4 linked regions of the Caenorhabditis elegans genome follow. The protein of the gene in region 1 purifies or fractionates together with the protein of each later gene. This does not show direct contact. Each region holds a gene or a part of one and is shown on either strand. Other genes may lie near its edges.

Region 1 (3,344 bases):
AGTTCAAGTTACCAGAACTTACATGGAAATTTCAAAATATGAGAATTTTGAGAAGAAAACAAGTTTGTGCGTTGTAAAAATATTTCATCGCTATGTTTTTTACCTTCTAAGAACTTAAACTTGAGAAATTCGAATGAATATTACGATTAGCCCTCGAATAGTATGAGTTTGCCAAACAAATTGATTGCTTATTCTTATTTTTGAAGGGAAACGGTACAACTCAGAATATGTCTCACAATCAGGGCCGTCTTTAATTAGACAAAATATGGTGACGCCACAATTGAAAATTGGTGGCTCTTATAATGTTGAACGACTGCAGGCTCTATTGGATGCATCTCATCAAAGTAGCTGTGCATAATTCTCTACAGCGAAGAGCCACAAATTGTGAAAAATTCTGTCCAAACCTCGCAGATGAGCTAGGGATTTCCAAACTATCTCACAGAGTAGGAGACTCGAGTTTTTTTTTCGACTGGAAAAAAGGAAGGTAGGGCTGACAGGCTGGCAAAGATGATGACAGACTTATGTGATGTTTTTTGGGGTTCAAAATTTAGATCAACGTATTTATTTTTGAAATAAAGCAATCATGCTGAGAAATACATGCCAAAAAGGAAAGAGAACGTGTGACGAATGTGAATGGGAAATTGAACTTTGAAATGATGAACGAAGAACCAGTTGTGGATGACGGTGATCTACTTGCGCTCAGCAGCAAAGGCATCCTCGGGGTGTCCGGTCATACTGAAAAAGAGTTGGGTTACTAAAGTTTCAGTCATTTTGTCCTATAAACTTACAAATCTTGAAGAAAGAGACGCTGCGAGTTCTTGCTCTCCTCGAGCTTGGCAATGTCCTCTTCAGTGAGAGAGAAGTCGAACACCTCGAAGTTCTCCTTGATGCGATTTTCTTGGATCGACTTTGGAAGGATTGCGCATCCACGATCAAGAGCGTAGCGGAGGAGCACCTGGGCTGGAGTCTTGTGGGTTTTCTCAGCCAAAGCCAACACATTTTGGTCTTGAAGGTCGGATGGAGCTGGAGCCCAGTCCAATTTCCTGCAAATAGGTGTTGAGAAAAGGAACAAGCTACTTGTTAAACTTACTGTCCAGTTGGAAGAGTGAAGTTGACACGTCCTGGGCTTCCCAAAGTGGCGTAGGAAGTGACCGAGATATTGTGCTTCTTGCAGAAATCGACGTGGTCGTGCTGTGGGAAGTAGAGATGAAGCTCGACTTGGGAGTTGTGAACTGGTGTCAATCCAAGAGCAAGAGCACGAGAAATCTGATCGTTGTTCCAGTTGGAGACACCGACAGCCTTGGCAAGTCCGGCCTTGTAGACTGCATCAAACTGACGCCAGACGTCCTCCACTGGCGAAGCGATGTGCTCGCTCATGTCATCGTTGAATGCAGCTGGCATGTGAGCAAGGTACAAGTCGACGTACTCCAGTTGAAGCTTCTTGAGGGACTCGCGAAGTCCACCCTCCAGTTTTCCCGGAGCCAACTCGTGAGTCCAAGCCTGTAAAACCGGATTTGTATAAAATAATATAAAGATGCTATTTTTGCAAACCTTAGTAGTGATGAACAGCTCCTCACGTTTGACAACTCCCTCCTCGAGAAGCTCCTTGATAGCAGTTCCGATGGCTTCCTCGTTTTGGTATACGGATGCGGTATCGATGAGACGGTAGCCAGCTTTGACGGCGGTCTTCACGGCGGTGATGACTTCGGCGGGGCTTGACTGCCAGGTTCCGAGACCGATGACCGGCATCTCAACTCCGTTGGAAAGCTTGATGGAAGCAGTTGCGGAAGACATGGTGATGGACCGAGTGTTGAGGAGATTCTAAAATTGAAAAAATAGAAATGTGAAATTTTTGAGAACAAAACGAGGTGATAAAGTATAGAGTAAAAGAAAATCGGCAAATAAAATTGTCCAAAGTTTGATAACTAACAGACGATTGTGCTATATTTGATCAGACGGAAATAGAAATAGAGAATGCTAAGAGGGGAGGGAGGGCTGATGAAAATCTTACAAACCTTGACACTATTCAAGTTATTTCCAAAAAAGGGTTGAGGGCGCTGATTTAATCTACCTTATGCCTCACGGTATTTATATTCAAAAAAAATCATCTTTATCAAGCGATAGCAGCTGTCGGTAGGAATCAGTTTGAGAGAGACCAATGGTGTATCTTGTTCCCGAAATGCAATAGTTTGCCAGCAAAATATAAATGATACGCAGGAGGTTAGGGGAGAATGAGAGAGAATCTGTGGGTCAAAAAATGATGACATTTTATTGTTCGAAGCATGCACCGTGGACGTATTTCGGAGATAACGAAATTTTAAATGGAAATTTGTATCATTTTCAGTGTTTCAAAAGTGTTACTTAGGAGGTGCGTTTGTAGTAGGCGAAATTAAGCGCATTTTATAAACGTCTACTGATAAGGGTAAGATATCAATCTACATTCTAGAACTGTTAGTTTTATTTTATTTTCAAGCAGCATTTTTACCAGCTAATTTGAACATGATTTGATTCATGAGCACCGGGAAAGTGAGTGCCAAGGAGAGGATAGGCGAGAGAGAGAGAGGTCACGGCAACGTAAAAAAGGAAAAAATAAGCAGGAAAAATGGAAAACAATGTCAGTTGCCCCAGATTTCTTCCCTTTTATACTGACCAAGGAAGCCACGCCCCGTTCCGTTCCCGCGTTCAAAAAAATGTTCCCGGTTTCCTCTTTCTTGCAGTGATTGCACAGTTTGCGCATAATGCAGATCACATAACAGATTTGACGCGCAATATTTTTGAAGAAAAGGCGCGTGGAGAGAGTGCGGGCAAAAAAGGGAGAGTGTAGGATGGGTAACAAAACACTGCGCAACAACGATTCAGGATTTTAATCGCACTGAAAATGAATTTTGTGATTTTAACTCTAATTTGAATCCGTTTTACTTGAAAAACGTTAGAAAATATACTCAAAAGTGAGACAACAGGAAAAACCAATTTTAATTGTTCCATTTTTCTATAAGGATATTTTTTTGATAAAAAATCAGTGCGTTTTCCGACTTTGATACCATTTTTCCTCTGATTTTACTTTTTTTATTCATTTAAATTCTGAAATTATCGCATTTGTATTGTGTTCATATACAAACAGAAATTCAATACAGTGAAATTAATAGTTTACTTTGAAACAAAAATAATAGTTGTTGGTTTTCAATTATTCTAAATTTGCAACATTCATTTCAAATATCCATATCAAGGTATCAGGTTATTTGGACCACGAAGCAGCATTTCAAAAATGAACAATTAAATATATACCTATACAGTACCAGTAAGACCAAAAGATTTTGACGGGCCCAAAAGACTGACGAGTTGGG
Region 2 (4,885 bases), on another chromosome or scaffold:
TATATTTAATTACTACTGAATAGTTTTTGAATATTCTTCTTCTATTCGAATCAGGAAACTTTTGGAAACCGGTGCTAAGTCCCTTTGATGCTCCCGAGTGGACTTTGAAGGAGAAATTCGAGATATTAGAGCGTGAGCTTAAATGGGAACAAAGGCGAAGAACGACAGAGAAGCCATCATCCAAAGTGGTTTCGGTGGATCTACAGAGTCTGGAGAATGTTCGGATAGCAGCTTCTACTGCGACATCTTCGACAGCCACGGTGGCTCAGATGCACAAGAAGAGGAAGATTGCCTTCGAATTGGATCCGGTGCTAACAAGTCCCGCGTGGCAGGCCTATTAGGTAAGTTTTTTTTTTTTAATTTTTGTTATTTGCTTGTTTAAATTATTGCTCTTTTCAGGAAATTAATGACTAAATACATCCTCCCAACAGAAGGCACATTTCCAAGGATAACTTTTTTTTTTAATAAATTGTCATTTTTAAATTTATAAAATTGTACCAACTCATTCTAACATTTTTAGTATTTACAAAATCTGTATTCGAACTCGTTTCAGTTTACGAAAATTTAAGAAATTTAAAACAAATGGATGTCAAGCAATAATATCGGCCTAATAACTACGGTTTTTGGGGAAAATACCGAAGGAAATTTGAAAGCATCACGGGGATTTTAACATAAATAAAACACAGTTGGCTGGGAAATGATAGGGGAATGAGTAGGGCAATCAGTATAAATATGAAACAAAAGAAGACTAGACAACAAAGAATTTGTTAATCGAATGATCGGATTCCAAGGCACTATCAGAAATTTCACGATGACGGAGTTCTTGAAGATTCTCTCCGTTGTAGGAGACAATTGTCTTCAAGTAGATCGGCTTTTCAGTTGCAGTCACTTTCGCTTGAACACGTTCCAGCCACAACTTGTTCACATCTGAAAATCAGTTTTTAAATCAATTTTAATTCTGAATTCACAGAAAAATCTACTCACTGGACAAATCTCTCTGACAAGTGCTCAAACAATCAGTTCCAACAGATTGAGCATTTTTCAATGGAGAAAACTCTTCGTTCCTCGCCACCTCCCAAATGAAAAATCGCTTCGAGAGCTCGAAGACGTCGAAAATAAACTGCTCCAGCTTGATACCATTTGGTTTTTCCGGTTTGACAATGGTTCCCTGCTCATTCACATAGGAAATCTTCTTGTGAGCACGATGATATGGAAGACGAGATGATGGAGAGCAGACTCTGTATTTATTTTAAAATTAAGCTTTTTCTCCAAATTTGAAATTACAAACCTATCCATGAAATCCATCGTGAAAAAGTGATTTGCAATAGATCCTGCACCAAACAAATATTTTCCATCCGGTGTCTTTTGTTCAGCCAACTCGGCTCCAAGCTCCGAATATTCAACGACACGTGGTAGTCCTCTATCAAGACAAACTGATCCGACGAGTTCTCCTTTTTGCTTCGGAACACACTTGGTTGCAACGTCAGCTTCGTTTGAAATGGCGAATCCGATGAAATGAGGGTCGGCAACTTTGCACAGAATGTTGTCCACACAATACACATGGAAATATTTGATTCCTTTCGCGCGAAGACGTGGCAAATGAGCAGAGATGGCAGAGTAGAGACCTCCGTTGCCGTCTGAAAAAAAATATGATTTTTCGGTTTTTTGTGAGAAAATCGATAATTTTCTTTTTTTGAAATCCAGAAAAAAGTCTAGATTTTATGTTCTAAAAAAAGTTGAGTTTGATGAGAACACATTATCTTTAAAATATTGAAAATTCGATTTTTTTTTCGTTGAAAAACTCATTTTTTAAAATTTTTGTGTCGATTTACGCAGCTGGTGTACTCCCCGAGAAAGAATAATTATTTTTTTGTACGAAATTTTTAAGTATTCGGATAAAATACTTAATTTTAGATATTTTTTAAATTCAAATCGTCAACTAATTTATATTTTTAGTGTGTTTTGGGTGAAAATCCATGCAATTAATACTGCTTTCAATATTGACACCGAAAATACTTTAAATGTCATATAATTTTTCGTTTTGAAGATTAAAAAATAATCAAAAAGTCAGAATTATAGCTGAAAAATTCGTAAAAACAGTTTTCCTCGAGGAGTACACGAATTGCGTAAAAACTCATACTTGGAGCAGCAACAACAGATCCTTTAGTTCCGAGAAGGAAGTTTCCCTGCTCATCGTATGCAGCAATTTCATCTTGTGAGAAAATAGTAATTTGTTCATCGAAATCGAATCCATGATGAGCCGCCAGTTTCTTCACATGCTCACGAGTAGCCTCCTCTGTTCCAGGTGACGTCATAACTGCCCAGTGAATTTTTCCCGGATTCTGATGCTCCCGTTCTCCAGCGAGAGCCTGAAGAAGTGCAATTTTGGCAGCTTGAATTCCCAAAAGAGAATCTCCAAATGAAGCGTTAATTCCCAATGGAATCGTTCCTTTCGGTTGACTTGATCCAAGACGTGTAGCTTGTCCACCGGCGAGCACAATTGCACATACTTCTCCACGTCCAATAGCATCCATTCCCTTGTTCCAGAGACCATCGAGGATCTGAAAATAATGTAATTTTAATGATGGTTTTACCTAAATATTAAAAGTCTCTACCACTTGATGCAATTCAGCTTGTACAAAATGCTGAGAATCAAGAACCGGCTTAAGGTCTTCCGCAGTTGATGGAGCCCGTTGATCCGCTGAATCAATGAACCATTGATGAGCTTCCGAAAGGTTTAGAGTTGAAATTTGGTGGAAAAGCTTCGATTTTTCGGCATCCGAGAGCTCATTGTAAAAGTTGAGAAGTGGCTCAGAGCCCGGAAACTTTGAGATAATCTCGTCTTTTGGTGGAGCAGTGATGGTCATCGTACTGAAAATAATGATCAAAATTAAATAAACGATTCTCCGGTGGAAAACAATTCAAAAAGTGATAATACACGGCGCAAAGATAAGAAAATAATTATTCATAACGCTGTGTGTGGCAGCTTCTCTCTAATTACAGAAATGTTCATTTGGAAAATAGATAGACACAAAAAACTGCACTTATTTAACACGTTTCCTACTTTAAAACTCTAAAAACAAGGAGATGGAAAACAAGAAACACGACAAAATATTGATTGTTGGCTTAACGTTTTTAGAATGCAATAAAAACAGAGAATCTCTTGTTTCGCCGAAGAAAATGCGGAGAAATCCAATCTAAATGGAAAAAAAAAGTTTTTATTAAGAAAAATTCACTGAAAATGAAAAAAAATCTGCAAATTCTTCAAGAAAATGATGAAAAGATCACAAAACATATAAAAAAACATCTGAACATGGCGCCGCTGCCGCCATAAAAACTTAAAAGTACGCGAACACAGTGACGGAAAAATGCACAGAGTTCAATTCTCCCAATATATATATACCAGTGGATTTAAAAAGATTTTGAGTTTTTCGAGCACCGCAAGACTCAAACTTAATCTAAAAAATAACCAAAAAGACTAGCTTCCAATAGAAATGACGTATTGATTCAGCGACATTGAAAAAGTTGAAAATGAAAAAAATCCACCCATCGCAGGCGCTCTGCACTTCTACTGGTAGATCAAACAAAGAGGAGACTGATATCACTAGTGATCTTGATCCACGGCGGCAGCGGTCGTATTCTGATTTCCCTGCATTCTCTGCGTCTCTCACCGCGCTATATAAGGCGGCGAGAGAGCTCATTCGTGTTTTTCTGTCTCGTTTTTGTTTATTTGTTTATTTGTTTATTCTCGCGCGTTTTTCTTTAAAAAAGGTATTTAAAAAGATCACTGAAAAAACGTGCGAGGCTTGCGAAATGAGCGTGCGGTGGTTGCGAATTGGCACCGCCCACTGAAACCTTTTTTTTGTAAATCCTAAAAAATCTGCAATTTTGTCAGCAGCCAAGAAGCTTTTGCATTTTCCCTATAATTTTGTCGTTTATTTCACATTTTTGATTAGTTTTTGAACATTTTTAGTCGCTAATATGGTTGAAAAATGAACTTAAGTCTACAGAAAAGCGCGAAAAACTCCGAAATTAGGGTTTTTGTAATTATTTTGGCATAAAATTCGCCATAATTCAATCTTTCAGCGTTCTCTTTCATTTTCTACGTATACGTGCTTAAAACTGTTGAAAATTACTCCTTCTTTCCAGATGCCGGAAGAATACATCATGTCGTCGAAGGCATGCGTCTACGTCTTGGGCGGTGCGGCCAACACAGCCACCTTGTTTGATTTTGACGGCGTCTACATTCTCGATGGGGGATTCGCCGAAAAAAGCCCAGGATTCGTGGCTCACGTCAGGGACGTCTCTGCCGTGCTGCTCGCCGCGCCGACGCTTGGTAACCTCGGAACCACGTCTGCTCTGTTGGAACAGGTTTGTAGAAACTTTAATGAAAATTTTGATAATCTACTTTTTTCAGGGAAAACCGTTGCCGGTGTTCACCAACACGAAGCCGTTCAAGACTGCCAAGCCGGGAAGCAGTGGAGAGATTGCCAAAGCAATTCAAGAAGCGAACTCGAAGCTTCTCTCCGTTGCACCGCCACTGTTCAGCCCGAAATATCCGGCACACATCATATACCAGTCAGCTGCAAAAGGAGTTCTCTCCATGTATATTCTGGCTGGAGACGTCAAAGACTCCGAAGTGATCACAAAGGCGTTGGCAGGAGGAAACGAGGCAGAAGTGGAGAAGGCGGCCGCTGAGAATGGAACCATCGCCGTCCTGCTCTGGAGGCCTGCGATGACGGATCAATCGGCGGTCAGAGTGCTTATTTCGGGGACGAGCTCACTTGCGAGGATCCAACAATCGCTCGACAAGGCAGCGAAATCACTTCCATTCCTCAACGCGCCCACCGTGAAGTCGAAGGATGCGTTGTTGGATATTCCTGCT
Region 3 (4,744 bases), on another chromosome or scaffold:
GTGATAAGTTTGAACGAAAATGCCATAGAATTTCGTCGAACTGAAAATCAGAATAAAATTTCAAAAGACAAATGTGAAACATTTTAATACCAGATGCGTCGCCTTGAACTTCTCCGATGAGTAGTCGGCAGACATCACGGCAAGACGGCCTAAAACTTGAATTTTGATGGTTTATTGATAAATTTAAGAACTTCTTAAAAGAAAACGAGATTTCATCACGAAAAAAAGCAAGAATGAGGAAAAATTTCTGGAAACTTCCTAAAAATTGCTGAAACGAGTGAAGTTTTGGCGCCGAAGTTTTGTTTACGGACCAAACACACGAAAACACGACTTGTCACACAACTTATTAGCTACAGTAACCCATTCTGCTTTGAAAATTTCTCTTTTTAATTAAAAATTCCTCGATTCAGATGTTTTTTTTTTCTCAAAGTGTTTCTAATAATTATATTTTCCTCGAAATCCACACTATTTTACATAAAACAAATCATCTTATTCTGCTCTTTTCGCCGTTTACACCATCTGTCCTTCTCCAATGACTCCTTCTCTGCGTCTCTTTCACTCTCTCGCCGCCCTCTTTTTCTCTGTCGTCTCTCACTTCGACGTACTTTCTCTCGTGTTGTTGTTCCCGTACTTTTGTGTGTTCCACTGTTTGTGAGATGACGGCTAGTTGCCTGGTACTGGATTCTCACCAGTTTTAATTGATTTTTCATCAAATTTTCTTTAAAAACTGATTAAACTTTGTGATTTTTATCGTATTTTTACAGATTTTCAGTTCAAAATGTCCGATGAGAAGTCTACCACACCAACCGCTCAACTCGACGCTCCAGCCGATGGAAATATGAATGATTTGACGTCGTTGGTACGTAAATACTTGAAAAAAATTGTCAATTTTCTAAAAAATCCTAAAACTCAGATACAAGGAGTTCTGCAACAGACACAGGATCGATTCCAGCACATGTCGGATCAGATTATTCGGCGAATCGATGATATGACAACGAGAATCGATGATTTGGAGAAGAATATCAACGATTTGCTGCAATCGAACCAAGTTGAACATCCGCCAAGCGCTCAATAAGATTGGTACGGAATGAGAAAAATGGGAAACATTCTCAAAAATTTCGGTCGATGTTTTGACCACTCGTTATTTTTGAAAAACAGTGTTGTTTTTGATGTCGACTTTGAAATTTCAAAAAAAAACAATAATATGGGCCGTGGGACCCAATTAGAAATACAGTAAAAAACGCTCTTTGGCCGAATATTTTATAATTTTCATGTATGAAGTCAATCCTTTTATTCCTTCTTAACTTTAGTTTGAAATATATTTAGATTTCCTAGCGCCTTTCCAATCGATTTACCACGTGGTAATCAGGCCGATTGCACCGTTATTCCAAGACTTTATCATTAAAAATTAGTATAAAAATATAGAACTTCACCTATTAATTTTGGCTGAAAAATTCGCCGAAGAGCTCAAAAATGGTCTGAAAGATGCCAAATTTCCACTAAAAAATCAATTTGTAGAGATTATTAATAACTAATCTCTCTTCAATTTCTATTTTTTCCAGCTCTACACTCTTCCCAAATGAATCATCGTCGCTTCCTTCTTCATCATCATCATAATTCCAATTCGTTTTGTGTGCTTCTCTGCGTCTCTCCTACATACATATACTCTTTTCACGTCTTCTTCTTCTTCTTTTTCTACTGATTATGCACGTGTTGAGAGGATTCATGACTACTATGTTGTGCCTCCTGCTTTTAATCTCTTATTCAATAACTTTTGTTGCATTTTATTACGATTTTCGGAATTATTTTATTTATATGTGAAAACACAAATTTTGCCAAAAATTCAAATTTTTGTGCATTTTTAAAAAAAATTTTCAATATGAAACTATTCATCTTACTTTTTCTTCTTCTTCCCTTGAATTTTTTCTCATACTAAATGTTGATTTCTCACAGTTTTTACTAACTATTTCGCATCCGGATTTTCAGATAAAAAACATATAATTTCAGAAATGGGAGCTCAAAATTCGAAGCGAAAAGATCTAAAAAATATTAACGATGAGGATTATGCACATTTTATGGAAAAACTCAAAAAACACACAGATGGAAAGGACAAAATGACGCGAGACCAGTTTGTGGTGAATTAATTTTTAGAAGGAAAATACATTTTAATATAAAATTTTCAAATTCCAGGCAATGTTCATACCGATTCTGGGTGAATATTCATCACAATTCTACTTTCGTTTGGTAAAAAACGAGCCGCAGGGCGTTTTGCTCGCTAAAACAATCCTAAAATGTATTGATACTGGACTGGGACATTTCGATCAGCTCGCCGATATGCTCAGATTCTGTTTTGGAGATCAAAAAGATCAGGTTTCGAATTTATTAATTTAAAGAAAAACTTCTTTTTTTTTTGTCAGATAATGCGAAATGTTGTGAAAATCTTCTGTGAAGGAAACAAATTCACCCGAGAGGATCAGGTCCGTCTCTACGATTATTTCGAAACAGAAAATACAAAACCAGTGAGCGAACTGGAAAGCTTTTTCTCAATGTGCCCACTGTTCGCCTATTGTGCTTCGTTCATTTTCCAACGACTTTTGGATAAAACTGGAGACTCGAAAATGCCAATTCTCTCGGACAAGACTCATTTAATGGGAAATATCGATCAATTAGTGCTCAACTCGCACCTTCCATTCGATCGACGCAAAAATTGGACACTTTTATATTCAAACATGAAACACGGGCAAAGTTTCTCACAATTGGTTAAATGTATTAATGGAGAAGGTCCTTGTATGATTGTGATCAGATCAATGAAAGGACGACGATTTGGGTTTTTCGCCTCGCAAGGTACACAAGAAATGTTGTGTCGATTTACGCAGCTCGTGTACTCCTCGAGAAGAATTTATACCTTATGATTTGCAGAAGATTTTACAGATTTTACTTTTTTTGCAGATTTTCTAGATTTCAGATCTTTCTTTTTGTAGACTGAAACCGAGAAATTGTAGTTTTACAATAGCAAATACATTTTCAAAAATGCTATAAATTATAGATAAATTGATGATTCCAGTTTTAAATATCAAAAAAATTGACAAACAGTTTCAAAAATTGAACATTTCATCCAAAAACTGTAAAATCTTCCTCCACGAGGAATACACGAACTGCGTAAATCCACACATGGCTGTGTTACAAGTTTCGCAGTAATTCTTCATTTTTTCAATTATGATAAAGCAACGGAATTCTAGCAGATACTATTTGAGTACCAATTTTCTCTAAAAATTGAAAATTTTTTAGGTTTTCTCGCGGGACCCCAATACCGTGGCACGGCCGAGTGTTTCCTCTTCCAGCTGGCTCCGAAAATTGCAACTTTTGATGCGACCGGGCGGACTGAGAATTACGTGTACCTAAACTACCAGCAACAGCAACATCCGAATGGATTGGTGAGTATATCCCGCCATGGATCATTCAGTATCTAGAGAACCAGTTTTACGATTTTTAAGTGTGAAATTTTCAAATTTCAGGGAATTGGTGGAACCGAATCCGTATGGCCGTTGTTTATCCACGAGGAGTTTGGCGGTGGAACGTGCCAAAAGAATTCCAGTTCGTTTGAGCCTTGCCACATTGCCGAAGAGGACGAGTTCAAGGTGAATCGGGACTAAAGCCCTTAAAGCCGAAAAAACGAAACAAAAACATGCATTTTCCAGATCAAAACAATCGAGGCTTGGCGCCCGGGCGACAAACCACAGAAATCATTCGAAGAGCAAATCTTGCTCGAGGAACGATCGCCGGAAAAATCGATAATCGACAAGGATCCGGAGGCTCGTGCGGTGCTCGAGTTGGCCGGAAAATCGATGCATTCGGAAGCGTATCGTGATCCGGCTCCCCTGCTCGATGGTGAATAGGCTCCGGAACCTCTAATCCCCAATTGCCACTTTCTCAGTCTTCTTTGATCCTTTACATCACCTGTAATTCCACTTTCATCAGTTTTTGTATCTCCTGTGCTATTTAAACGCTGCAAGACCCATGTGCGCCTTTAAATGATCACTATATCTTTGAATTCATAATACTTTTCCGCCGCCCGTCCCCATGTCCTGCCGCCGTGAGCTAAACAATGGTTGTTAATATTTCGACAATTTTACATGTAAATTTTCACATCCATACGTTTCTGCAATTTTTCAATCAAAAATTCTAGAAATTTTCAAATAAAAATGAATTTTCGATTTTTTCATCATACCAACTAAAACATAACATTTTTATAAGGCTTCCAATTCAAGATGATGAGCTCATTCTCTAACGCGGATTACAAAAAATCATTCAAACTGCGTCCGTCGATCCGTCTCTTCTCGCGTCGACTCCTCGTGTGATTTGCCGCTTCCAACACCCTAGCAGCGACAGCAGTGCTCCATATTTCACCCGTGAGCCGACGTTTCAGCCGATCCAAGAGTTTATCGAAATGTCCGAACATTTTCACGATATTACGTACGTACGTTTTCAGCTCAGAATTCGCATTTATTTTAAGTTCCGATAGTGAAAAATGGTGACAAAAAATTTAAATTCCTGTCAAAAAGTGGGTGAAAGCCATAATTTTGGAAGATAACCAAACATCTCTTGTCTTTTTCTACGATTCATGTATTTTAATTGAGGATTCCATGTCAGAGTCGCGCGGCGTCGGAGCCTCACGCCGGCCGGCCTTCTTCGTCGCTCCTTCAAAAAATATTTTATATATATACAAAAAATATAATATATATGC
Region 4 (4,182 bases), 4.4 Mb from region 1:
CGAGCCAGAGATAGAGAAAATGAGAAAAGTTGGAAATTGAACTTTGCAGACCACACTGACAAAGAAAAGAGGGGGAGAATGCGGGAGGAGAAGAGTGAAAAAAACGGATACTTTGATGAATCGAAAGGCCGGCTTGTGTTGTGGGTGGCAACCAACTAGTACTATGACTATGCCAACCTCGCCCGTAAAAACACGTTCTCTTTGCACGGAAGTCTTCCGAAAGTTCTCTAAAAGTTTCCATGACACAACATTGCCGATTGGGTTTTCAGATGCTAATCCCCAGGGATTGAGTTTGGTCATGAAGAGGAGGACAAAAAAATGACTTTTGGAGGCTTCCGGTCTGCAACTGTTTAACTTGAATTTCGAAACATACTTCTAAATAGGTAAACATCAAAAATTCTGTCTTCAAAGCAGGACATTTTTTTTGAACGCAAAAAAGTTATCAGTGGAACTCGCATACTAAAAAATTTTCCATTGGATATTTCGTTTGAATAAAGTTCAAAATATTTTTAAGAAATTAATTTATTTGAAAAAAAAACACTCAGTATGAAAACGAGAAAAGTTAGTTTACAAAGTTAAAAAAAGCAACTTGCTTTAGGATATCGCGGACATTTTCTGTTGTAAATTTATTATTACTTTTGTGCTAATTTAAGAGACAAAGAAACATTTTTTTTTAATTCTCAAATAGTTAACTCTTGTATGTCCAATCCAATAACGCAATCATTCATAAGAATCTAAGCATTGAGTCCGGTATCTGGTTGATTATCAGGATGAGCGGCAATAAAGGCGGGGATATCAGCAAGAGTCTCATTGATACGATTCACTGTTGGGTATGGCGACAAATCGAGGTTGAATCTGAAATGACGGTTTGATTGCGATCGGAACGATTTGGAAGGGAGGTTATTCTGATGGTTATCTGTGAATCTCTCATGTCTCATCCTAAACGCTCATCGCTTCCAATTCATGTTTGTTGAATGACTAATACATTTTGTTTGAATCAGGAATCCGATAAAAAGGTTGTTGCCACACAAGTGGATGTTGTTTTCAATAGGAATGTGTTTTCGTTTAAATCACTTGCTAAGATGATTCAGTAACTGTCTATGAAAAATTGGTCAGTGTTGTTTGAGGGTAACCCAAAAGGTGTTCAAATTTTCGAGGTTTTGAATACGCAAAATGTCAAACTAATACATTGAAATTCTGGATAGATTACTAAAACATAATAAATTTTCTCAAAAAGTTATCTATGTCCAAAATTCCCTGACCCTCCCTATAATCATACCGGTTAGCTGAGTAGATAAGTGGCGGGATGGAGAGATCCGCAATCGTGACGTCATCTCCGACAGCATACTTCCCAGAATGTTGCTTTAGAAGAATTTCAAGAGCAGTGAGACCTTCGACAACAAACTGTTTGGCAAACTGAAATTTTAAAAATTGAAAACATACATTGAAGATTCTGAAATTAAACCTGTCCTCCGAATCCTGCTTCTTTTTTATTCAAAAGTTGAAGAACCTTCAAATTGTGAAGAGGTTGAATTCCAGAAGCAACCTGTAAACCTCAAAACATAATTGTTACAGTTTTTGTAAAACAATAGCAGTATAAAGTTAAGAAAAAAACCAACTAAATACGTAAAACTTACCAAAAGAGAAATAGCTCTAGCGTGAGCTCTCTTGATTGGATCTTTTGGCAAAAGTGGAACGTCTGGATGCGTTTCTTCCAAATACTCAATAATCGCAAGACTTTCAGTAATTACTTGACCATCCACAACAAATGTTGGTACTTTTGCAGCTGGGTTGATTTCTTTCAGTTTGCTCTAAATTTTAAAATAATTTAAAGAACCGCTTGATTTTCTCTTACCTTAGCCTCTTCGGACAGCAAGTCGACAGTTTTGTATTCGTAGTCCACGTTTTTCAAAGCAAGCGCTGAAAATAACATTTTTGCTAGTTAAAATTGATATAATTAAAATACCAACCGATGCGAACTCTCCATGAGCACGATGATCTCCAATAAGAATACAGAACTGGCTTTTGGTTGGACATGTCTACAAGCAGAAAATAATTTTGTAAATTCTCAGAAAGAATAACTGATGATAATGACTAGTTGAAAAATAAACAAAAAGGGTCAAAGACGGAATGATGTCGAACTAACTGATAAGATTGGACGGTGTATGTCGACGAAATGGTTTTGTTGTTGTATATTGCAGACGCAGAACACTAGAGATAGTGTAATTGTGCAGACACACGTGGTCTTCTACTATACATTACCAACATCATATGTAGACCAAGAGAGAAATGCAGATTCAAAAAACATTAGAAGGAATAAGAAGAAGTAGACAAAACTATGGTAAGCCTTGGGCGATGCCTTGAGAGAACAAGCAGCCCACGACTTTTTTTATGAGGCTGCTCCCAACTCTTGCCCAAGCTGTACCCAAGTCATTTTTTCAAAGACAATATAAAAATACACAGTGCACTTTGATGTGCTTAAATGAAATTGAGAGCATCCAGGAACTATTTTTCAATTTAAACGACGTTGAGACACGTTCATTAAAAGCATATCTGGTGGATCGTATTAATGAGATCCAGACCCAAGCCACGGTGATTGTGGTGAACAACGTTCGTTTTTCGCCGGAGCTCAAGTTGGAGCTGAAAGAGATCTTGTCGAAATGCATTGACGGAACGCGGATCATTTCATCAGAGTCGATTGTTCCACGTCCCCGTTCTCAAAGCTCGACTTCTCGTCGTATCGATGGTAAGTTGAAACTAGGTGTTAGGTACATCAAAATACTAATTATATCTTTTTCAGATTTTGTGAAAATCACGGACGAGCGTCTTCTTCATCTTGTGGAAAACAATACGTCTTGGACTGGTGACAAAGTTCCGTTTTATCTCACTGAGATCAACCGCAATAAGGTAAGTTCGTGAATATGAGAAATATTTGCGGTTATGGGTTAAAATCAGAACTAATATTAATTAACTTTTTACAGTGATCGTCGACGCCCTTTCTTCTTCCCAACTCCTCTCTCATCAACGTGTCTTCGTGCTCGGGTCAACTTCTGATTTTCCGGTGTATTTTCTATTTAAGATCTCCCCTTCACTCCCTATAGATCTTTCATCTCCTTTGTTTTCCCCTCAGTCTCTTCTCAGTGCGTCAATGTAGCACGTTTATGATTTAAAAAACCAACTTCTTGCAATCTGTACTATCACTCAAGTTGGTCCAATAAATTGTTGTTTTTAAATCAACCGTCCTATTTATAAAACGTTTCAAAATGTCCTTCCATGTTAGTCTGTCCGTTCTCTGCTGTCCTCGCAAGTCTCTGAATCCCTCGTCGTTGTGATCCTAAAATCCGTCATCGATTTGTCCATTGAGTATTCTCAAAAAAGTTCCCATCAACGACATTTCTATTTCTGACCTGAATCAGTCGAAACGCAAGAGAGGTAAAGATCAGTCGACTAGGGATTGGGATGAAGCTGGTTCTAAAAACTGGTCTTTTGATAATCTGTCATTTTTCAGTGATCAATCCTATGTCATCCGTCTGGCTGCTTCAACAATGTCTACGCTGTAACTTCACAGTATACAACAAACTCTTGAAAAAAGTATGTTCCATTAGGTTATTCATTAGTTGGTATTGAGCTTTTCTTCTAATTGGACTGTAAAGTAATATGCAAAAAGTGATTAATGGATTTTTTTAGTCTTGTAAAATATTAATACAGTGAACTACCGCGCAAAATTTTACACATTTCAAGCATCGAAATGCTATTTTCAAATTGTTTTTGAATCCCTCTTTTAGTTAAGATTTCATCCAAAAATGTAATAGTGGAGAAAATGTTTATTTACAAATTATTTATTCCAATCTCAAAAATTAATAAAACACAAATACACAAACTACTGTTATAAAATCCAATTATCATCAATATCACAAGTTCACTGGAAACATACATTTCAAAATTACCGGGAGGTTCGGGGAGCTGACTAGAACTGAAAAGTTCACCAAGAAAAGAAACATTAAAATTTAAGTACAGTTGTGTTTCAGTAATTTTTCCATAATACGAAACAATGCATTATCTATTCCCATTTGAGATCAAACGACATTCCATATTTCCTCACATTACATTATGATGCACACTTTTGAATCTTCAACTTTCTCTCCTTTTTCTTTTTTACCATTTTTCTTTTTCTCATTCACT

The links.
Region 2: the proteins of C07D8.6 (region 1) and C36A4.4 fractionate together in Caenorhabditis elegans (co-fractionation; one large-scale study listed by BioGRID). This does not show direct contact.
Region 3: the proteins of C07D8.6 (region 1) and eak-7 fractionate together in Caenorhabditis elegans (co-fractionation; one large-scale study listed by BioGRID). This does not show direct contact.
Region 4: the proteins of C07D8.6 (region 1) and gst-42 fractionate together in Caenorhabditis elegans (co-fractionation; one large-scale study listed by BioGRID). This does not show direct contact.

What each region holds. Positions count from the first base shown.
Region 1 is NC_003284.9:7,339,986-7,343,329, reverse strand, and holds C07D8.6 (NADP-dependent oxidoreductase domain-containing protein), read right to left. Parts: upstream 1,822-3,344; 5' UTR 1,795-1,821; coding exon 1,552-1,794; intron 1,501-1,551; coding exon 1,091-1,500; intron 1,044-1,090; coding exon 789-1,043; intron 736-788; coding exon 690-735; 3' UTR 550-689; downstream 1-549.
Region 2 is NC_003281.10:3,840,744-3,845,628, forward strand, and holds C36A4.4 (putative UDP-N-acetylglucosamine pyrophosphorylase), read right to left. Parts: upstream 2,872-4,885; 5' UTR 2,868-2,871; coding exon 2,616-2,867; intron 2,562-2,615; coding exon 2,141-2,561; intron 1,638-2,140; coding exon 1,289-1,637; intron 1,239-1,288; coding exon 985-1,238; intron 928-984; coding exon 749-927; 3' UTR 503-748; downstream 1-502. Other genes in the region: C36A4.11 (uncharacterized protein), read left to right, coding at 143-341, 400-407; maph-1.3 (Microtubule-associated protein futsch), read left to right, coding at 4,150-4,371, 4,418-4,885.
Region 3 is NC_003282.8:12,563,247-12,567,990, reverse strand, and holds eak-7 (MTOR-associated protein MEAK7), read left to right. Parts: upstream 1-2,007; 5' UTR 2,008-2,009; coding exon 2,010-2,135; intron 2,136-2,190; coding exon 2,191-2,370; intron 2,371-2,417; coding exon 2,418-2,844; intron 2,845-3,288; coding exon 3,289-3,434; intron 3,435-3,515; coding exon 3,516-3,638; intron 3,639-3,698; coding exon 3,699-3,896; 3' UTR 3,897-4,216; downstream 4,217-4,744. Other genes in the region: Protein let-99, read right to left, coding at 1-40, 91-135; hsb-1 (Heat shock factor-binding protein 1), read left to right, coding at 779-859, 914-1,075.
Region 4 is NC_003284.9:11,725,760-11,729,941, forward strand, and holds gst-42 (putative maleylacetoacetate isomerase), read right to left. Parts: upstream 2,178-4,182; 5' UTR 2,038-2,177; coding exon 1,971-2,037; intron 1,921-1,970; coding exon 1,856-1,920; intron 1,812-1,855; coding exon 1,638-1,811; intron 1,547-1,637; coding exon 1,466-1,546; intron 1,417-1,465; coding exon 1,280-1,416; intron 856-1,279; coding exon 735-855; 3' UTR 505-734; downstream 1-504. Other genes in the region: D1053.2 (Histone-lysine N-methyltransferase, H3 lysine-79 specific), read left to right, coding at 2,392-2,746, 2,801-2,907, 2,982-2,984; D1053.3 (Ras family protein), read right to left, coding at 4,104-4,182.